3 linked regions of the Oreochromis niloticus genome follow. The protein of the gene in region 1 purifies or fractionates together with the protein of each later gene. This does not show direct contact. Links are inferred from orthologs where the notes say so. Each region holds a gene or a part of one and is shown on either strand. Other genes may lie near its edges.

Region 1 (7,380 bases):
TGAAAGTCGGCACAGTAACCAGAACAGTTCACCGGATGGTCAACATCATGTCCTCTACTCTGGTGCCAACGGCTGTCTTTTGGCCCTCCAGAGCTGAGCTCCGTAAAAACCTGCCAGCCGCGCTGCGAGCCTCTCATCCTGACTGCGCCGTCATCATAGACTGTTTCACCGTGCCTTTCGAGGACCCGGTCTCTCAGGGGGCGGGGTCAAGTTATAACGTGTTTAAGTATCTGATTGGCGTGGCTCCGCAAGGCGTGGTCACTTTTGTCTCTAGGGGTGTGCTGGGAAACGTCAGTGACAAGAGCCTGGCTGAGGGTTGTGGATTTTTGTGCAAGCTTCTCCCGGGCGATGTCGTACTGGCAAGCCGTGACCTGGACATCGGAGACTCTGTGGCAGCACGTGGAGCCTTGTTTAAAATTGCTGGCAGCTACCAGGGAGAAGCATATGGGAGAACAGAGGGCTCATTGCTGGCTGATCCTTCCTCCGAGACATTGAGCGTGCAGAGGCATGTGGAGAGGGTGATCTCCATGGTAAAGCAGCGGTACGCCATGCTCACGGGCCCTGTCGAGAGCGCCTTCACCGCAGCCTCTGAGCGCACGTCGAACCTCTCAACCTTTGATAAGATTGTGCAAGTTGCCTGTGCCTTAAACAACCTGTGCATCTCTGCTGCTCCACTAGAGTGATGTGTAGACAAACTCCTCGTGCTCCTTTAATGCTGATCAGGCTCTTCAGTTCCCTTTACTGCTTTGGACTGCACTTCTTGCTGTCCCTCTGTGTCTATGTGTCGACACTACATCATGACTACAGCAAATAGATTTATACTTTTCCACTATAATCCTAACTTTCAATCTATGTCACTCCTTGTGATCTGGGTCAGTTTATACTTAGCAATAGGACCATTTCTCCAAATACAGAAACCACATTTCTGAGATGTAATGTCATGAAGTTATGCACCTCCTCTCACAAAGAATGGCCGACTTGCAAGAATTTATTTTGTTTAGGCTTTGGGTGAAAACTGTGAGTAAAACCCTCATGAAATCTGTCTTGATTAGCTATTTGTAAATGCTGAAGTATACACACTGCAGTTTGGGTGATGCGTTTCCACTGATCCCACATCTCTGACTGTTAAGTGTGTCTTTCCCATCCCTGACTGTAGTTACCAGATTACATCGATCTGCTGCAGAGAAGTGGCATGTTGCTTAACCTTTTTTAATTTTTATTTAGTTTTTTGTTGCTTCCCTGCATCTAAATCAGGAAGCGTGCACATAGGAATATGCATAGAAAGAGGTTAAAATAACAGAAATGCCAGACAAAGTAGTACACCTCCTCGGCCCCGGTGTCTCCTCCCAGTTCGGGGTGCAGGGACAGAAGTGTCCTGTGGTTTGTGAAGGAGTACTGGTTCTAAACTCATCTTTTTTTTTGGCATAGTCACATTTTTGTAAGCCAGGTACTTTTTATAGCAAGAGTACAGTCAGCTGCGATGATTAGCTACAAGTTGGCAATTCAAGCACATCTTGGAATGGCAGATGTCTTCAATGTCTTCATCAGCAGGGATTTGCTTGTTTTGCAGGTTTAGACAATAACAATAATAGTAATGATGATGATGAACAGAAAATCAGACTTCAGCTTGAGCTGTATACAGTAATTAACAATGATGTCCATTTTTACTGAGCCACGTGTTTAGGTAATTGTTAATTTCCCCAAAGTAGTTAAAGCTCGTTATTTAATACAAAAAGAATCATCTTTTGTGCTGGTGAAGAAGTAAACATTATTGTGACAGATGCTGACATGCTGTTGAGCCTGAAGAAACACATTGTTAGATGAGTACATCAGCTACATTTAACATGTGGATTCATTCTCACTGGTTTGTCCTCTCCGGTGGGAGACTGTGACAGGCTTTGGTCCATGAGCACGAGCCACAGCAGTAGTTATGGTACAAGGCTGCGGGTTATTTCCAGAAAGGTTACCCAGCAACTGAAATTTTGATCTTTTTAAAGGGTTTGACCTTTCAGTAATGTAGACACACCAACTGGAAAGTTTATACTGATATACAGTATATCTGCATTTTTTTTTTCATTTGAAGAAAACCCGCTCTGAATATTGAATTACATATTTTAGTAGTGCTGCTTTGCTGGTGCCTTAGTTTGTAAAGCTGTTCCAGATCAGCCCATATTTTCTACAGATATTTATTTTGACATCATGCACTATTCTTTGAACTTTTTCCTGGTTTGGTCCCTAAGCCAGATGTGCATGATGAGTCAGCATCTGTAGTCAACAAGGTCTAAATGTGTGTTCCTATTGTTTTGTTGTTTGTTTGTTTTTAAGGTACATCATTCTTGTGTGCTCAACTTTCTGCCAAAACTAATCTAAAGTCACTACACTTATACATATGTTTTCTCCTAAGGTAATTGGTTTGAGGGGCTACAATACAATTGGCTCAGGGCCCAAAAATGAATTGGGAATGCTCCAATAACAAAGACTACACTTAAGTTCAGGTGCTGGGCTTAAACAGGTGATGCTTCATAATCGGTGTTAGGTTCAGAATGTGCCTTCTGTTCTCAGACCCCTGGGTATCCCAGACAACAGATGGGTCTGTCTTTTCTGAGTGGTCATGTTTTGGTTGACTGTGTATTGCTCTGGGGCTTCCATAAGGACATCTAGCCACAATATTTAGTCCACTTGCCTGCTTTTCCCCCCTTCAATTAGCCATGGTGTTTGGCACTGCTGATGCTCTAAACAAACTATAAAAATCAAGTTAATTAGCAGTACTATGGGTTGATATATTTCTTCAGCAGTGCATGTACTTTGGATGAACACATGCTTCCTTTTTTTTTTAAATCAAGTCTTTGACTGAGTAGACTGTATCTGCAGACCTTGCTTGCTCTTTTATGGAGGGAGCGAAAAGCCCCCTTTTTTGACTGATTAAAATAGTCTTACAGTCTGGTTTAAACGGTGTTTGGCCGTTCCTAAAGTAGTGAGTGCCGCTGGAGGACTGTTATCAAGCAAGGCCAAATACCAGTATTAATAGTAGTTAAAAGGCTTTGTGAAATGACTGTTGGTTTATTCTGTCTGTATTTAGTTCTTACATGCATAAGAACAAAGTCAATACTTCCTATTTGATGTTTTTCCTGCTCTAAAATAAGAGCTTCTAGGTTGACATGTATGAAAGAAGTTCATAAACTCATGTTTTTCTCACACTACATTGCTGTTTGACATTATTGTTACGGACGCATGTGCTTCCATGATGTGTAAACTCCTGAAGGTTTCCTGTTTAGTTTCTCTTTTAATATAGCTCCTGTGACTGAAAAAATAAAGTTGTGGAATTGCATCAGCTTACACACTACCCAAGAGTCGCCGTTATGTTTTTCTGTGTGTACGTGTAAAATATTGAAGGTCTGTGTTGTCCTGTGATAACTGACATTATTATAACTTTTTATTTGCTTTCACACTGAGTCATTGGTGAAGACTATTTCCAAGGCCGGAGAGGGGTGACTGAGTAATGTAATGTGCAGATATACTTTATTTATCAAAGGGAAAAATGCTTGGAGGAAGCTCCGCCTGTGAATATTTCAGAGGAAGGAAATCAAGACGTCTCACTCCGTTGCTTTTTGCAGTTACTGCAGCGGTGAAAACGACAGCTCGTCACTACTCGCTATTGCACTACAGCGTAAACTAGAACCCCGCAGTTCTGTTTCTATACTTAACTCGTCTTTAAAATCAAAAGTAAAACTTACTGATGCACTTCAACAAAAAGAGATTTGTACGACGCCGAATACGCAAAAACATTTTTAAGTTTAATTTGTTCGCAAACGGTAACAGCTCCTAGCTAAAACAACGTGAACGGAGTGAACGGCACTCGCCTAATAGACGATCTTCAGGTCCGCTGACGTGCATTGGTCCGTCACGTGACCTGAGGAATGTTAACAATGCAGCGAGTGTCCAACTTTGTGCTGAAGTTCTGATCCTGCCTGGAGTCTGGGGAGAAAATGGAGGCTCATTTCATCATATTTACCCACTGAGCTAGGTGTACGCGCTCAACAACCGAGAACCGGACTCTTTAAAGAAAAAAAAAGTTGCCGTTTAACGGAATTTATTCTCTTCATATTGAGTTTTTCTCGCCACTTCTATCACATGGTAAGTTGAGAGTTGCTTTTTTTGGGAGGGGAGTGGTGGTGGTGTGACTTATTTCCACGACTTGTTGCTGAGCAAAACGTTCCGTTATGGGTGTGTTATACAGCGAGGCTTATGGAAAACGAAATGGAAGTTTCTGTAAGTTTGAGCCTCTTTGGAGCTTACAGGACTGCCTCCATTTTTTTCTCTCCCTGCATTGGAATGTGTTGCTGCTCTCAGCCCCCAACTCAAGCCTGGGATATTGCTGAGAAGGCCCCAGCGCTTTAAAACAGGGCTTTCCGGACCTTTATGCCCATACAAATATCACTGTGTACTAGTTTTAAAGCTTTGGTGCAAATGTGGGAATTCAATTTAAGGGTTTAGTCTATATTTAAATGTTTGTTTATTTGTGTACATTTAAAGTCCATCTTATTTGGGCATCCTAACTTGTGCCTCCTCTGAGGACCACTAACAGTAACAGAAGCTATGCTTTGTAGATGCTGTTAGTCAGAAGATCCTGCATTAATTTCACTGTTTAAAGTGAGTGAACAGATTTGTAGTTAATAAGAACTGAGCTAAATAAAATAGTTCGTAACAGGTCAGAATATTTTTTTAATATTGTATCTGAAAATGAAAATGGAGTCATCTGATTTGAATCTATCATTTTCACTTCTCTCAGGCCCTGCATAGTTTGGCACTGATGCAACAGTGCGTTTCATTCAGGTGTACTGTACCGCATTACTATCCCCAAAACACACTCACCCACTCTCTTTCTTTCTGCTTGACACACTTCTGTCTGTCAAGACAGTTCAGCGCTTTGATTAGTTCAGCAGTGACAGCAGACCTGGGTGATGCAAACCAAAGTCACATGTTTTAAAGGGACGCTTGATGCTCCTGCCAGTCTGTCCTGTAGCGGGGGCGGGGGGTCACATTTTCAAACAATCACACCAGTTTCACTCAGACTAGGGTGGCGCGGCAGTGTGGTGTCATGCACGTCAGAGGTATCTGTCAAAGAGGAACCACTGGGATACAAACAGATGCTTTGGTGGTGATGTTGTCAACACAGTGGATTGTAAGAAGCATGCAGGGATTATTACATGTTATTACTACTACCATATTTGTTTTAAAGGGACAAATGTAAAAAAGTGGGCTACATGCACACAAAAACAATCTAGATGGGTAGATGACTCCAAAGGCTACAGGGAAAACATATCGGTTTGATTTTGGGGTTGAGCTGCAGTGCATCAGATACACACAGAAAGAGCCAAATTGTTTCCCTCTTATACACACACACTTGCACTCTCACAGCTGCAGCCAGTTTCCATCAACTGTTGTCTCTGCCTGCACATTTGTGATGTGTCCTGCAACATTAACTGAGTTGGTCCCACCCACCTCTACCCCCTGTCTTACTCCACCCAAAGCTTAGTTGTTGGCCAGCTTTGCCCATTAGGAAGTTGTGTTCTTTCCTCCACCTCCGCCTCCTCTTGCTTCGCAATTTCCCAAACACAGCAGAGATATGACCGTCCACATTCTCTCAGATCCTTCAGGCAGGTTAGAGGCAATCTTATTAGTATTAACCTGCCAGCTGCTCGCGTTGCTCAGTATTCTGTGGGGTTCAATGTTGCAGAATGCATGCTTTCCCAATTTAGCATCACAGTGGGCAGCTTTGTTTTTGGTGAGACCGAAAACAAAGCTGTGGTATAGTGTGCTAAAGTTTGTTATGAACAACACATGTCCACGAAGAGAAACATGCGTTTAAAGTGTCACATGTGCCATTAAAAGTCAAAAAGTCAAAAAAAGTTATTTTACCAAAAAGAGATTAGAACATTGTCAGTGGTCTGTTTTGTTAAAGTGGATATTTGAGGAATTGATGAAAAAATATTTATGTCGCAGGTTATTTCACTAGTTTTCCTCAGTACCTGTTGGTGTAGCATGAAGTTTAAGTCATCTTAGGTTTAGGGTTAGGTCAAAGAAGGAGTAAGGTTCAGTGATGGGGGTGGTTATGTGTAGAGCATTGTTTTGGGCAGAGTCATGTCTTTTTTTTTCTTGCAGATTTGTAGTTATAGACAGATACTGTCCGTGTAGTTTGTGTTTTGGGTTATTTTGGTCAGCGTACTGCCCCGTGATTGAGCTGCGGTATTTTACTTGTACTTACTTGTGGAATGGAATGCTCATTGCTTGGACACGGCGCCTGAAGCATCGCAGGAATGGAGGCAAGAGATCCCGGAGATGGGGCAACATTTATGGAGCTTGGCCCCATGTTACCCCACCACCCAGCAGTGTAAAAAGAAAAAGCATGTTTTTGTCTATGCAAAGTTTAATCTGTACAAACAGTGAAGGCTGTGTCCTCCTGAAATGGCCCAAAGGGATGGAGACTGCTAGAGAGGAGGAGCAGGAGAAGGAGGAGATTGGGGATGCAGTTCAAGAGCTTTTTATGTTTGGAAGCTTTTTCCTCTGCAGCTGCTTGGTAGTAGCGCTGAGGGATATAAGATTAAGATAATATTGTTAAGAATGTATTTTTAATTATCTAAATATAGAATATCACAGCACTGGGTGGATTCTGTTTGGCATTGCCTAAGACCAAAACTTGACTTGTAAATTTTAGTTTTGGCGTGTTTTCTTTTGAAGGTATTCTTTTGTACCTCCGCACAGACACACGGGAGTCTCTGGGATAGTGTAAGAATTCAGTATGTTGCATCACCATCACTTCAAAGTTTTCAGACTATATTACTTTATCAGTGAATCAAAGCTGTGGCACATTTGAAATTGATGGAAACATCTGGATGTTTAATTTGGTATATTTGTAGCTGCTTTTAAAGATCTCTGTTGGCAGCTATAGTAAGTACAAAAAAAAGTTGTGGTCATGATATCTCAGAGACAAATGTTAATGGTTTTTGAGGAGGAAAAAATTAGAATCCACCCAATGCTCAACTGACTACTTTTAGACATTAAATAAAACATTCTAGGTTGTTAAAAAAGATGTATGCCAAACTGGGGGGGGATGCTCTGGGAATACTACCGCGATCCTCAGATAACATCAGCCGGGGAAACTTGTAGTAAATCAGCTCAACCAGAAAACTCCAAAAATCCGATACTGGACATACTTAGCTATCTGCTATCTGCTAATTGAGAACAAACACATGACTCAGTCATGAGTAAAAATAGGATGTAACCTTCTTGAATCTACAAAATAAAATTAAAAAACATAAACAAAAATAGGTGGCCGCCTGGTAATTGTGGGTTGTTTTACATTCTGTGGCTGGTTTTAAA
Region 2 (7,661 bases), on another chromosome or scaffold:
CAGATTACCACCTTGATTCACTAGTTAAACTGGACCTGGAGAAGAAAAATGAGAGCTCTGCATACAACTGTGTATCTGTCAGAACAGTGGAACGTCATCTGGTAGCTGACAGGCCAAAAAAAGCACAGAAGGGGGAAATGCAGAAGTTTCGTAGTCTTGATGGCGGCTATGTCAACAGGAAGTGAACCCCCCTCGTCTCTTCCTCCTGATTAGAGACTGAGCGCAGAAAGTCTTGGCAGGACAGAGGATAGGGGAAGAGTCTAACTAAACAGCTTCTACAGGGTCCACGTGCAAGATTTAATTCCCGTGTTCCTCATGTGACATTCAGATGACTGATTTGAAGCTGATTTAACTTAACCACCTGCACCACTAAAAATGTGATCTGGGAATCTGATTCTGCAGTTAACTCAGGAGATCAGATCTTAACAGCTGGACCAAGTCTCTTATATAAAAGAAAGCCATTTTTATCTCAGTGAGACGTCCTGGTAAAATAACAGCTAATAAATAGATAAAGTGTAATTGTGGAGCTGATAAAACAGAGGAAGTGGGCCGCATGAAATGAGTCAGCTGAATTTAGCTTTATCTGATACACAGTGCAAAACAGATTTAGCTTTTTGTTTTTCTTTGTCTTTTTTTGTTGGGGAGTTGAGTTAAATCCTCAACAAAAACATCATGTTTGGGTATCAAACACTAAAAAATGTTTTTCCCATAGCTCAATAATAACCCAAGTCTTAAAAGTCAAAAATTCACTTCTGTTAAATGTAAAAATATATAAATAATCTCAAGTACAGTCAAAGGCCAAAATAAGATAGATATGAAATTTAAACTAATGCATAAAAATGTGCCTTTGCTCTGCCTCTGAGTTTTGCTGGCCCGTGCTACAGAGTCATGTGTTAAATGAAGCATTCAAGCAAAGAATTTGTGTCGAGAATTTTTTATAATTGAATTACTTGATTAATCACTGCAGCCCTAGTCTAAGTGTTGTATATACCTTTGAAAGTGGGCCATTGTGTATATCAGTAACCACACCGATAGATAAAGCATCTAAACACCCGTGTTTTTCCTGATGTTTCACAACGTGTCTTCAGTTAAATATGCCCTAGTGGAAATACTTTTACTCTAAATTAAGAGCACAAACATGAGGACAATGATTGGCGTTACCTTGGTCCTGCAGACATCACGGAGCAGCTCGTCTCGGTGCAGAACTCGGTGATGGTACCGTACAGCATGTTGATCTGGTTGAAGAAATCCACCGCTAAAGGAAAGAGTAAATTCTTATTTGTTTTATCCAGAATTTATGCATGTTATTGTGATGAAAGAACTGGGAGATTATAATATGTATTTTAGTATCTACACTCACAGTTTAATAGATTTAAAAGCACAAAATGCTCATAAGCCATATATTTAAACATACCATGTTTTATTAGAGATAACATATAAAACATGTAATTCTACAATACCTGCTTAATGCAACAACCAGTTATTTACCAGTCTGCCAGCTGTGTGCACTCTTCTATGACCCTATTACTCTTTTTACACCACAGGGTGGTGCAAATGTGCAGCACCTGTACAGAACTATTTTATTTATGATTCATGTTAACACTGGGCACAGGTACAAACTTTAACTGGTTAGTTGGATACTGTGTGTGCAGGGTCATTGTACTGAGTCACTCACTATTCACTGCAATCCATTCATTGAGATCCTCTCCCTCTGGCAGCATGACAGCCTGTCTCAGGTTTCCGCTACCCAGCGTTGCCTCTGCGTGTTTCAGCAGCTCATACTGGTGGGAGCCCTCTGGGATGTTCTTCTTCGGCTTGAAGGTCTTAGATGAGCGACTACCACTGGACAGAATTTAAAGTGGATCTAAGAAATATTGTCTTCATGGTGGTCATGTGGTACAGGCCATATCTGTCTGCCCCCCCCACGGGGTTAACATTTACCCTTGAAAGGTTGACAATGTAATTTTTACACCTTAAACATCTGATAAACATACTGTTAACTGGACATGTTGATCCCTGCATGACTGACTTTCATGTGTTTTCCTTCCTCTTTTATTTTTTTCTTTATAAGGTCATTTGCAGTAAGATTGTCGAATCAAATGTGTAACAGGACAGAGAGCTGAACACAGTAAAGACTGAACTTGTGATAGTGAACTACATAAACAACAGACTTTTATCTAAAGTGTCGTTTTTAAAAGGCTAATTTTAGAGTAGATCCTCTTCCTGGGCCTTGATCTACACACGGGAGGACTCCTGTTCATGTGTGCACTCAGCAGATGCAAGCTTGGTGGTGGACATCTATAAACTTCACGCTGAACTCGTGATGGGTGACCGCTGCAGCGTTTGCCATCAAACCAAAAAACTTTGGCTTCCACAGCGTCAGAGCCGTGACTCAACCACATTATAGTGTATACCCACTGACAGGAAATGCACCAGTGTCACAGTATTACTGTAAACAACGGAAACTTAATTAGCGGCGTTACTTAACATTTTATAACCACCCAGCGAGATTAGACCTCCAAAGGTGTGGGATATGACTAAAAATTGAATGTCTAGCCTCACTTAAGTCAGTTAAAGAGTGACCATATGAGCTAAGCTGGCTAACCAAACGCGAGTTAGCGCTGCTCACCAGGCTAGCAAAGTTAGCACGTACTAACTCACTACTTTAAAAAGTTACAGTTCGTGAGTTGTGGCAAACTGTAAATCAACAGTTTCTCGATCATGTTACAATCATCAGTGGTAGCTCTGCGTAAGGAAGGCGTCACTTTAACGCAACTTAAACCTATACTAAGACTGGGATGCGGTTAGCTGACTACTTTATGTAGCGGTGTCTTATTTTATCGCCCCTTACTTCCCTTGACTGAACTTCGTAGAAGCGCAGCTAACATTAACCGCAAGCTCCGGCTGTAACTTCACGAGCGCTTAAAAAAAGAAGAAAAAAACACTTTACTTACAACAGGAAGCTCATCTTGGCGCAGGAATCGTTAAAGTTCCTGGATTTGAACTCTTGAAGCTAGTTTAGTAAACAGAAACGCGTTTTAGGAGTACACTGTGCGAGGCACTTGTCAGGGGTGCCTGCTAACAGCAACAGTGAAGGCTAACATGAACTGCACCCACAGAGCCTCTTCCTCTGTCTGCTGTCTGCTGCAGCGCAAATGGTAGTCTGTCGCCCCCTTCAGTCTGCCTGTAGGTATTACTACGTACATTTTCCAAGCTCAAGACCTTTCTGTTATAAAACTGTTACTTTCTCATGTGTCATCCTGGAGCACTGTGACATACTGTGACACTGTAATACTGTGACATAGAACAATCCCCTTAAATTCTTTATGAACTTTTGATCATTTAATATGAGGACAGTGTGACAACAGTGAGCTGTCTGGTAGGTGCTACGGATGAGGTCAAAGTCAGGGTGGGATTATATTCAGTATCGGCTTTGAGCCCCTTCTTGTTTGCAGTGGTGATGGACAAGGTGACAGATGAGGTCAGGCAGGAGTCTCCGTGGCAATGATGTTTACATATGGCACTGTGATCTGTAGCGAGAGTAAGGACCAGGCGGATGAGAGCCTGGAGAGGTGGAGGTCTGCTCTTGAGAGAAGAGGAATGAAAGTCAGAGGAAGCAAGACAGAATATATGTGTGTGAATGAGAGGGAGACAGGTGCATTGAAGATGTAAGGAGTAGAGGTAGTGAAGGTGCATAAGTTTAAAAACCTGGGGTCAACCATCCAAAGAAACAGAAAGTGTACAAGAGAGGCAAAGATGAGAGTGCAGGCAGGGTGGAGTGGATGGAGACGAGTGGTGGGTGATCTGTGATACAATGATAACAGCAAGAGGGAAAGAGAAGGTTTACACTGAAACCTGCTATGAAATATGATTTGGAGATGGTGGCCATGAAAGGTGACTGAGGTGGAGGTGGTAGAGATGAAGATGTTAAGATTTTCTTTGGGAGTGAGCAAGACAAACAAGATTAGAAATGAGTAAATCAGAGGGACGGCTCAGGTTTGAAGACAAAGTTAGAGAGGTGGGGCTGAGAGAGACACTGGATGCTGAATATGAAGCTGTCAGACAGGAGGAAAAGAGGACGACCTCAGAGAAGGTTCATGGATGTAGTGAAGGAGGACATGAAAAGGGCTAGTGTGATAGAGGTGGATCCCAGGGACAGGGTGAGATGGAGATTTTAAATCAAACAATGGATATACGATCTAAGTGCAGACTGTCAGCTTAAATCTTTCTCATTTTCAGTTAAATAATAAGCTATTTCATTGCCAGGTGATGCCTGTTCCCTCATTATAGCAAAACTAATTATGCCGATAAAAGATCTGGAGTAAAAGGTCTGAAGCGTTGAATTTGCATTTGGAATTCGCAATATGAGGCAAAAAAGACACATTAGTGCAGGTGAAGGCATCGTTAGTTTGGAAACACAAATCTATCTGAGAGGTATCAATATATACATATATCTTTGGACATATAAAACAAGATGAACTTGTACCTGAAAGATGGAGAAGAGAAGAGAGAGACAGCATATGATCCGAAGCATACAACATTATCTGTCAGAGAACCTACTTTCACTCATATTCATTCATATACCCGCCCTGCATGTGCTCTCCAGATAAGGAAGTACAGTACATCTCGGTACTCTCCAAGCTCTAAGCTAAGCTGTTAGCTTGTGGTTCCACCAAAGAGCGAGAACAAACAGTGGCAAACAGAGAACAGATCAATGTGTTTCAAAAGGTTCAGTCAGGTATTACATTTTTCCACAAAACCTCCAGCAGACATGGGGTTAACTCCAAAGAATCCACTGCCTTAGTACTGTTTTTCCTTTAAGTGCCCACAGTTTGACATGAACATGAATACAGATAAGACCTACATTTAATCAAGTGCTCAACTAAAATACAATTCTTGTGTATCTGTACATAACTGAGTATTTAAACGTTGAAAGAAAATCTGCTTTAATACATCCAATAGATAAATGTGCCATGTAGTTGTTTTTTATTAGGGTTTAAGAAAAAACAGTTTTAAAGGATATTAAAGCTGCCAATAGGGAATAAAGTAATTACAATGGTTCAACTTGACCAAGAAAGCCATGATAATCATTTAGTAATCTAATAGTAGCAATCCAGTTTCAGCGTTGCTTTTAGTTTTCTTATTATAATGTGGGTGTTAAGAGTTAGAAGCAAGATTTATAATATTATAATACAAACACAACACCTCATTTGATACAGACATGATGTGAATTTACACCAAAGCCTCATTAAGCTGTCTGGGTGTTTCAAATCTGACCACACTGCCAAAAAGTAAGAATGTTTTCTGTTTATTTTTTATTTCAGTCAGTCTTGTAAGTACAAATTATTGTTTCCGATTTCTTCTCTCATTTTTATTTTTATTTTGGTTAATGAACGAGTCCATGAACAAACGTATGAAAAGTGACACAGACAACAAAAAAGTCATGAGAAAAATGAAAGTCGGTCAACCCGATGAGTGCAAAGCGTCCTGTGGCTGCAGAACAAGCCCAAATCAACACCCCTCCACCACCGTGCCTAACAGCTGCTATGAGGTGTTAGGTTTATGACAAACACGGTGCTGTGCATTATGATCTCCTTTTTGGTCTTGTCTGTCCACAGGACATTGTTCCAGAGGTCTTGTGGTTTGGTTCAGATTCTTTTTAGGAAGAAGAGGCTTTCTCCTGGCAACTCTTTCAAACTACATTTATAGTATGAACAACAACTCCATAGTGCCTTGTTGCCTGTAGCCTTTAGTCAGAGTCCTCAGATGTTTCCTCTTCTTTGTGCACCTCAGAAGTTGAACCAGAAACCTCAAGCCTGTTTCCACAAGGATAGAGGGAAAAACAAGCCATGATTGTTACTCTTTTACTAACTGTACTGTAATGACCTTTAACATTTAACATGCCAACTGAGGCCTGTGGAGTCTGTGATGGGGTTCTTGGGGTTTTTTTTACACTGTCTCTGAGCATTACAGGGTGTGACCTTGGCGTGAACTGCTGTGAAAACTGCAAAAAGTTCTGTGAAAATCCAAAACAATTAAGTTAGTTTTGCAAATATATAATATGCTTAAGTTTTTATTTAATGAATTAGCTTTTATTTCAGTTGATTCAAATGTTTTACCACACCTATACTTGGTTTCAGTGTTGTTTTAGTTAGCTATGATGATCCTGGTTGTTTGAACGTGGAAACTGTACGTGAAAAATAACTTTAAAGCTCTAAAAACAACAACAACTCTGACTCTATATTGAAAGAATAACGGCCTGGTACCGCTCATGAGCTTCCACGCTGGGCTGCTGTGAAGGGGCAGAGCTCTGCAGCAGAGGGCTGGCGACTGATAGCAGTGACGTAGGCAGCTTCCACGAGCGGGGGGGAGGTGTTTAAAACCGCTCTGCTCCTCTTCCTCCTTCACAGCCTCCCTCCGTCAGACCCGGGGTTTCGTAACCGGCGCTGTAGCAGTGTCTCCTCTTCTGTGAGCCGGTGAGAAATGGCAGCGCTCAGGACTCTCAGGAAACTGTGCCAGCACACACAGCACCAAGTCTGTAAACTGCACACGTCCGCCTCGAGGTGAGTCTCCTCCGCACATCTGCTGCGGCTTTAACGGTCATTTTACGACCTCTGAGGCGCTTCTGTTTCCTCACTCGGTAGGAGTGTTTGGTTCTTTTTTAGTTTCCCCACCCCCCGTGTGCCCTCTTATTTGTAGGCTTTTATGTACGCGGATGAAGTCGCTGGGTTTTATTCTGCTGGCTTTTATTGTTTTATTGTACTAAACGTCCTCAGTTGAGCACATTTCGCAGCGCCCCTAGCGTCACGCCGGTAATATTGCAGGTGTAGATGAGGGGTGGGGGGGCTGGCTGATGAAATCTGTGTGACTGCTTGCACCCAGTGGCAGGTTTCAGGTGGAGTTCGAGGTGTAGGTGTGCACACCTGGGGCAAAATGAACATGCAGGGTATATCTGATCACGTGGTCTGTAAAACCTGATATAACAAGCTGAGAGTAATGCTACAGCAGCTAGTCAGCAGCCTGTTAAGCGTTTGCATCGTGCAGGTATTTATTGGAAACTTGCTGAGTGCAGTATGACTACATGCAATTAACTAATCTTTCACACACACAAAAAAACTACTCTTAAATCTCGTGGGTCCTGCGCATGATCTGCGTGATTTGCAAAGACACAAGGCTGATAATTTAGGACATATGCATGTGTGATTATCTTACATCACTGCTTGCCAAATTAGATCTGGTGGGATCACGTTACCTCAAGTTAATTTCATTTATATATGTGAGGAAAATTTCTGCAAACTCAGCTGCGAGAAGGACTAGTGCTGTGTTATCATGTGCAGAGTAAACAATAACAAAAGATAAATATTGTGAACATGAGTTATTCAAACATTTGTAAAGAGAGATCTTTCCTCAGCCTATCGGGGGATTTAAACTTCTATTAGACCTGTAGCCTCGACACATTGCCTCTGGGACCTGGTACACTGGTCCCATTCTCCCCAAAACACTCAATCCTTTTCTCTGAGGATTTAATTACTTTGGACAGGATAAAAGTGACAGTTACATCACTGTCGATGGCTCATTACTCTTCAGTTATTAGCCCTTGCGCTCTGCTTGTCATTATATAACGGAGAACTATGTTTGACAGTTGTGCAATGAGGACAAAC
Region 3 (7,879 bases), on another chromosome or scaffold:
GTGGCATCTTCCACCTTCATCTATCATCACCAGGTTGCCATTAACACAGTGGACTTTGTTAGCAACAAAAACATTATGCACAACATCTGCAGAAAACTCCATTGCTAGTTTACTTGCAGATTAAGTTTTTCTTCTTTTTAGTAATTGCTGACTTAGTCCTAGTTTGCCCACATCTTTGTTCAGCACTTCATCAGTGACGATCAGTTAATAATTGACGTTTGAGATCCCTGTATGTATGATTAGTCCTGCTGTTCATGCTGGCTTATACAACTGTCCAAATCCACAGTGCTTAAACAGTGGACTATAAATTTGAAAACGAAAAACTAGAGAGATGTTTTCTTAGCCAGTATGAACAGGAGGAATGCTGACATCCTGCAGATTGATTAATCTGCATTCATATTAGAATTTCTAGTTTGTCTATCTTCATTTATTCAATAGTCTACACACATCTCAGGCATAAAAAGCCCATCTTTAGAATTAGAGGGTAGAGCCCTGGTGAAGTGTACCTGCCTTTTCTCTCCAGGGGGCGATGCCGGAGCAGCGGGCGGCACACGCAGACAGCTGCCGGCGGATCGGTGGATTGTAACGCCAGCGTCATTTCCTGCTCTTCGCTTTACAGACTGCTTACATTCTGCTCTCCCTCTGTATCCGGAGTAAAAATCTGAATGTGGCACATGAAGCCCCACATTTGTGGTGCCAGAGATAAATGGCATGACGTTGTAGTTGTATTTCATTGCTGCTAGGTGGCAGGGAAACACAGAAAAGGCTCCTGGCTTGTTTTCCAAATGGGATTTTGATCACATTAATACTTGCATTGACAGTTGATAGACTGTATGTTTTCTAAAAAGAATAAATAAATAAATAAAAATGTAACATCACTGAGCTTATATAGACTGGAAAGAGGTAGGACCAGACCTTTGGTGGATTCATTATACATCCTGGTCGCAGTGAATCTTTTCGATGCAGGGTTTACTTTCTGGGAATGACTGTTATGCACTTGTGTCTTTTTAAAACTTTAAAGGGTTTATGACAGGGTATGTATCCTCGGAGGAAAAATCCTGTCATCAAGGGCCAAGGTTAGTGCCTGACAGCCTTTTGAGTCTTTTTCTAACAATCAAACCATTCCCACCTGTTGTTGCCAGGTGATGCTACCTGATGCTATTTGTGTGCAGTCAGGGTTCATGGAGATTGTTCAATGAAGATACCAAGTTTTTAGTCCTCTACTGTCCTCTACTGTATATTTGTGTTCTGGGCCTCTTTTGTTGCTGCTGAGCACCCAAAGTGAATCACATCTTTTTGTTTTTCTTAAGCAAGGACTGATCAAACATGTTTGGTAATTAATTTTCAATGTTTGGCTGGTATTTATTAAATCTTTGTGAGGTTGGTAGTTTGTCTTTAGTACAGCGTGTCATTATGTCCGTGTTTTGGGTTTTTTAATCATTTAGTGCATTTTTGTTCTTCCTATGATGCACATCTGTTTTATTTATTTTATTTATTTTTTTCATGTTTAGAGTTTGTTTTATTTATTCATTAATTAATATTTTTTGTAGCTATATCTGGAATATAAGTCATAATTTTATACTTGTATTTATTTTTCTAGTGAATCATCCTCTTTAGAAATGTAACAGAAATCCATTAATAAAGAATAAAGCAACTAGCTCACAAGAAATGGTGTCTGACTCATCTCACGCTCACATTTGCAATTGTTTTGTTTTTATTATATTTTTTTTTCACCCACTCAGAAGCTGAACTCATTTTATATGGTAGTCTTGCATCAGCAGCAGTTTGACAATGTCCTTGACTGTCTTCTCCCCAGGATGAAAGGGAGACGAAGATGAAGCGCATGGAGGAACGAATGAAGGAAATAGAGTTGTCTCTGCATAATGTCAAGCTGCTGCTCAAAGAGAAAGTTGCTCAACTCAAAGACCAGGTCAGTTCAGTTTCAGTTCAATGGCTTCCACTAATTTTATTTTATTTATTTTTTTATTTTTTTGTAAGGTGTTGTACAAAGCTGGACTGCCATTTCAACAAAAATCTACTATACATTAGCTAATTTGGTAACAATGACAACGCAACACAACCTGTGGGAGAAGATAGACAAAATTTAATATTATTCAATAATGAAACATACTTGGTGCATAATGGGAGGTTCCCCAGCAGTCTGAGCCTGTATCAACATGGGATGGTTCAGGGTCATCTGCAAACTATAAGCTTAATCAAAAATTAACTATTTTTAAAGTAGAGAAGGGCATCTGTCACCTGTAACTTGGAACTCTTTCCACAGGAGAAGAGGCCTGATGAGATCTGATGGGGTCTCATTGTTAGTTTATATGTTAGGAGGAACATTTGGTACAGTTTGATAGTGATTGCAGGAGTCCAGCCAAGAATTAAAAACTGTATGAATTCATTTTTCCACATCACTCCGAGATGCTTGGCAATTCCACAGAGATAAAATAAAAAAAACTCAGAATTTATCATTAGAAAGGTTATGTTGTTAATTTAAACTATACCCATATTGTGTTTTCTGTCGTAGATAACTCCATTTAGTCTTCATAGCAATGGAAATGTATCCAGTAAAAATACTACCTAAGAGAAATGGTATGGGTCCTGGTACAAAACCTTGTGGAACTCCATAACTAAAACCCCTTTTTTTTTTTTTTTTTTTTTCGAACAATTTGAAATTATTCAAAACATTGCCATGTAATGTAACCCATTACAATCAATTATCTACTTTGACTTTTCTAGCTGCACAAGAATGGCAAAGCGGACGTACTAATCAAAGATCTGTATGTGGAGAATGCCCAGCTGCTGAAGGCTCTGGAGATAACTGAGCAACGTCAGAAAATCGCGGAGAAGAAGAACTACCTGCTGGAGGAGAAGATCTCCAGCCTCAATAAGATAGTGTGTGACCTAAACCCGTCACATCTTCCGCTGCCGTACCATTATAAATGATCACAAGGGATTAACTTGAAATGTGTGTCAAAGTCAATATTTGCACTGTATCTTTACTAAATACTTTTATTTTATTATATTTATCACTGCTGCAAACTTTATGCAGCAGATTCTGCCAATTCATGAGAACTGGTGGTTTTATGTTAAATATGCAGTATTTTTGTCCATTTAATTCTAACCAGTAATTAATGGGACCCATAAATAATTAAATATGAGGTCAAACTGCAAAGAAGACATGACTTTTTACAGTTATTTATATTTTTAAAGCACTATTACCTATTAGTAAATATCTTACCTTTAAACTTGCTCTCTGTCCAAAGAGAGGAAAAACAATTATGAAGTGTACTTTTTATACAAGTGTTCTGTGTTTGAACTGTCCAAAAGTTGTTTCTCTAGCCCTATTGTAAAAGAATAAATAGAAACCTGTCGTTCGGTAGTAAAATCATGCAAACTGAGAAGTCAAATCATGTTTTACCTAACACTACTTGAAATTGAAAAGACTTTAAATGTCTATCAAGTGGCAATATTTTACATGTCATTTTACTTTTAAAGGAAATTGTATGATCTGTTGCAATATGTAAAGGTGTACAGGCTATGTGATTATGGTTGTTCTGGCTTGAAAGAAAGTACCTTGTTATTGTAATTAATTGTAATCTGCATTTATTGCAGAGTAAGCATTAGAGTTAAGACAGGGTAATGGCTGTGCTACAGATATAAATAAAATGAATGGATTGTGTTTGGTGGTTTGTAAGTTATGGCTTTTTTTCATTGGACATACACATGATAACAATAAATGTGATTCAAGCAAAATCAACATATTTAAAATTCATGCCAACCATCCATGGCAGGAATGTCAAACTTATTTTACATTGTGGTCCAACATCCAGCTAAAGCTGTGGCCTAATAACATGTTAGAAGATGCCTCTTAATTATTCCCCTTTCTTTCAGTGTAAAAAAGTTCAGATAAATATTAAACAACTGAGATGTCTTAACAAAAAAAAGTGTATTTTCAACAGTACGTCTCACTCTTTGCTGACAAATTTCTTTATAATGTACATTCTTTAGGTTTATGTCTGAGTAAATGATTACAGCTACAGAAAAAAAAACACTGGCATCCCACACTTTATACTGTAAATAAAGTTGTTGGGGGTTTTTTTAACCTGTGGCTCCGATACAAAACAAAAATGTAAATAATGAAAGAAAACCATTTCATATCATTTATTCAGTACCTACTTTGGTGTATGAAAGGATAATGTGTTTTTAAGAGAAGCTGTAAAACTGGACAATACAGATAAAAAAAAATAATCTGCAATTTCCACAGTGTTTAAGCCATCTAGTGGGTCAGTATAGACCCTTGAGAAGCCTGTTCCAACCCCTGGGCCATTTAACATCCCTGACATACAGGTGTGACCAGAAATGTAGTCACTTTAGTCTAAACGATCAGTTAACTCTCTACGGCTTTAAAATGCTGCTCATGGTTTGCTGCTTTTGTTGTTTACATCCAAAGTTTGCACAAAACAGACATGCATTAAACAATCTGTATGAAAACGTGTATAAGTAAAGACAACAGAGATTTAGGAAAAATTTAACTGATATTTTCTAACTACAGTACAGTTTTTGAACACTGTAGTATAATAAATTTAAAGGTATAGGCTTAATTATTTATTGATTGCCATCCAACCTTCAAAAGTCTCTCATGTCAGTTTATTTCTAAATCAAATTTTCATATGTATCTGTTAATACTGTGTTTATGTCACCGAAGGGCCCCACGGTGGTTTTTGCTCCTCTCTCTCCTCCTTCAGATGGAAGGACTTCCCAGTAGTGGGACTGGATCCGCTGCAGCAGCACTGACGCTCCCTATGGCTTCAGTTAGCTGGCTAACTGCGGCTAGCTAATCCAAAGCTGCGGGGAAAAATGTTGACTTTCCGCGCTTTGCTAACTGGCCGGTATGGTTGCAAAGTCGAAGGATTGTGCCATGACTTTACCTCACCGTGCTGTTGATGTTTTCCGAGCCTTGAGTTATGCTCTCACGAAAGAAAAGTAAGAACGAAGCGTCCAAACCAGCCGAGGTACACGGGAAGTATGTGAAGAAGGAAACGTCGCCGCTCCTGAGAAGTAAGCGCAACAAGTGGTTAGCTTGTCAGCTAGCCCCGAATAGCATCACTCAGCTCGCTAGTTAAAGTTAAACACTGTTAAAGCTTAGTTGGCTAACATTAACAAGTAATGTAAAATTACTCTGTGGGAACATTTATACTTATTTTTAAAGCTCCCACGATTGTAAACAGCAGTTTAATGCTGTACAGTCTAACCAAACACAGCTACGATGATAGTTATTGTAGCTAAATGCTACATGAGCGCCAGTTGTAGTGTATAAAGTTATAAGATAATGCTTACAGCTCTAAATGACTCAGCTAAAGGCATATTATACTAGTAGATTAGTTTAGTTAAAAGTATTTTTTTAGTGTCTGTAATGACTTATGATTATTGTGATAGCTGCTGTTAGGTGTTTCTATTAGAGTATCTATAGAAGTATTATGAATGTTCACTGGAGTGAAAATAGCAGTATTTTGTAGAAATGGGGGTATTACTAAATTACCTTCTCGTGTAAAAGTTTTATTCGAGAGTCAGTAAACATTATAATTCAGGTATGAAAATTAAAAGTACGCGATTTGGCTCCTATTAGTAAAATATTCTGTTTTTATTATGGGTTTTTTGTTTTGTTTTGGTTTTTTCAAGTCATCAGGCATGAGCAGCTCCAAGATATTGTGTTGCCTTTTATTGACATTTGCTCTGCTGACCTGATTGCAGATCTTATGCCCTCCTTCATCCGTCATGGACCCACTATACCCAGACGCACAGAGGTCCCTCTGCCAGAAATGGTGCCTTCTTCCTACCCTTTGGCACCCAGCCGGGAACCTGTGGTGTCCCGTAACAAGAGTGTCCTCCGTACCCATGTGCAGAAGACTCCTCATGAGGTGGCCCGCACAGAGAGCCACCGCTTGTCTGCACCTCCGTACCTGCCTCGCAGTCTGGGAGACATTTCGCATGAGTATGGAGGCTCATCACAGTCCTTCCTTACAGACGTGAGTCCCATGTCTGAGAATGGAGATGCCCGGTATTATTACCCCTCTGAACCTTATTATGAAAACCAGCAACATCAACAGCAGCAGCAGCGCCAGCCAAGGAGAGTCCCAGACCGCTTTCCTGAAGACTATAGATACTACGAGCACAATGAGCACAACTTCCAAAGACATCCCCGACAACATACTCCCCCAGCTCCAAACAGACCCCCTTCAGGTAGATTTTACATTTCTTTGTGAAGCTCCCTTTTAACGCTGTTCATGTCTTTATTTATATATTTTAACGAATTTAAAGAGGTTTTGTGATAAAAGCAAGAAACACCTAGTTTCAGAAAGTTTATGACTGACATCCCATCAGCAACTTTTTAAAATTTCCCCTTGTAGACCTTTTTTTTTTTTTTTTTTTTTTTTTTTTTTTTCAAACCCTTGTTTCTTTGGTGTATGGCAAGATGTAGTAGTGTCAGTGGCTGTACTAATGTATAATTTCTGTTTTGAGTATTATGGATGGTTGTCCAACTACACAGAGGCCACTCTGAAAGGAATGCAGGCCACTAGTTGTCAAATTGAAAAGAGCAATTTCATTTCAGTCTTTATTTTACTGCTCTGTGTTGTAAACATTACTATGATGTAAGTGTAATTACATTGAGATGGGGGGGGGTTGGGGGCACGGGAATGCTTCTTGTCCTCCTCGTACCATAAAGACACTTTTATTTTGTGGCTGGCTTGTCAGTGTCATGTATACAGTTCAGTATTATGTCAGGCCTGCCGATCATGTAGCCTTGTTTGGAGTAAAGTCAAACAAGCATTAGAGGCTCTGCATTTTTCACCACTGTGTTTGCTGAAACTTTCTGCCAGCAAACTAGTAATTTGCACATTGCCCCCAGTCAAATGTCTCAGCCTCAAACTGCTCGCTAGCATGAATCATCCTTGTTACGTATGTGCTGATCTCTTTATGCTTGCATTTAAAACACAGTGAAGTTTGAGAGGGGTCACCCCTCAAACACTGGCAGACGTTTTTTCATTTTGATAACAGCATGTTTTTGTCCCGTAAATAGTACTTTTTAACAAGAAAATAATCAAATCAAAGCAGTTTGAAAATAACTCAGAAGTTAAATGTTGGTGCAGGGATTGACGTTATTTCTGAGTTGCGTGTGTTCAAGTAGTGAAGTCAGAAGAAAACAAGGGAAAGCATGATTTGTTTTGTTCTTTAACAAGGTAAAGTCATTCAAGCATCACTTTGAATATAGTGCAGTCTTTTTTTGTGCTTAAAAACAACGCTGTAGCATGTTTGTGCATGACGCCCAGTCAGTACAATGCCACTATATGTTATTACAGCGTGGCTCTGTGGTATAGTTGGTCACATTTGCTTTAAACTGAAATTATGGTTCAGTGGGGGTGGCATGCTGGCCCATCTACCTGCAGAGACCGTCTGTTGTTGGACAGTGTCCAAAGTATGTTGTACAACCGGTCTGTGGGCTACTCTTGCTTGTCCTTTTGTTGGTCCATCAGGCAGCCAGGTAGAAGCACAAGCTAGTGCCCAAGCCCAGATAAGGAGGGTTGTATCACACAAGCATCTGCTGGAAAATCTCAGCCAAATTGGGTATGAAGATCTTGTGTGGCAACCCCTTGGGAAATAAAAGAGAGTATATACTGTTTAAGTGGTGTCCTATACTATACTGAAGCCCCACACACCTGCTGTTTAAACCTCGTGTTTGCAAAGGGCAGCCAGTTAAAAGAAAGAGCGGTTAGTTCTGGATGAACTGAGGGGCTTTGTCAAGGCTTAACTCTTAATAGGGCACTCATTGAAATACTTGGAAATTCAAGTCAGGTTGTGCTGTTCTGTGACA

The links. Proteins that work in one complex are often made in the same cells at the same time.
Region 2: the proteins of lats2 (region 1) and mob1a purify together in Homo sapiens (affinity purification with western blotting; 9 studies listed by BioGRID and IntAct, with this or other methods). This does not show direct contact. The link is inferred for Oreochromis niloticus from reciprocal best matches to the Homo sapiens genes LATS2 and MOB1A.
Region 3: the proteins of lats2 (region 1) and sav1 purify together in Homo sapiens (affinity purification with western blotting; 4 studies listed by BioGRID, with this or other methods). This does not show direct contact. The link is inferred for Oreochromis niloticus from reciprocal best matches to the Homo sapiens genes LATS2 and SAV1.

Annotation. Positions count from the first base shown.
Region 1 is NC_031987.2:27,638,442-27,645,821, reverse strand, and holds the start of lats2 (serine/threonine-protein kinase LATS2), read left to right. Parts: upstream 1-3,905; 5' UTR 3,906-4,134; intron 4,135-7,380. Other genes in the region: uncharacterized protein LOC102075830, read left to right, coding at 1-683. UniProt on the Homo sapiens protein: Negative regulator of YAP1 in the Hippo signaling pathway that plays a pivotal role in organ size control and tumor suppression by restricting proliferation and promoting apoptosis.
Region 2 is NC_031977.2:19,147,037-19,154,697, forward strand, and holds the start of mob1a (MOB kinase activator 1A), read right to left. Parts: upstream 3,151-7,661; 5' UTR 2,969-3,150; coding exon 2,955-2,968; intron 1,843-2,954; coding exon 1,676-1,842; intron 1,256-1,675; coding exon 1,162-1,255; intron 1-1,161. Other genes in the region: mthfd2 (bifunctional methylenetetrahydrofolate dehydrogenase/cyclohydrolase, mitochondrial), read left to right, coding at 6,484-6,563. UniProt on the Homo sapiens protein: Activator of LATS1/2 in the Hippo signaling pathway which plays a pivotal role in organ size control and tumor suppression by restricting proliferation and promoting apoptosis.
Region 3 is NC_031983.2:21,074,360-21,082,238, forward strand, and holds the start of sav1 (protein salvador homolog 1), read left to right. Parts: upstream 1-4,729; 5' UTR 4,730-4,973; coding exon 4,974-5,067; intron 5,068-5,760; coding exon 5,761-6,249; intron 6,250-7,879. Other genes in the region: nin (ninein), read left to right, coding at 1,817-1,930, 2,746-2,952. UniProt on the Homo sapiens protein: Regulator of STK3/MST2 and STK4/MST1 in the Hippo signaling pathway which plays a pivotal role in organ size control and tumor suppression by restricting proliferation and promoting apoptosis.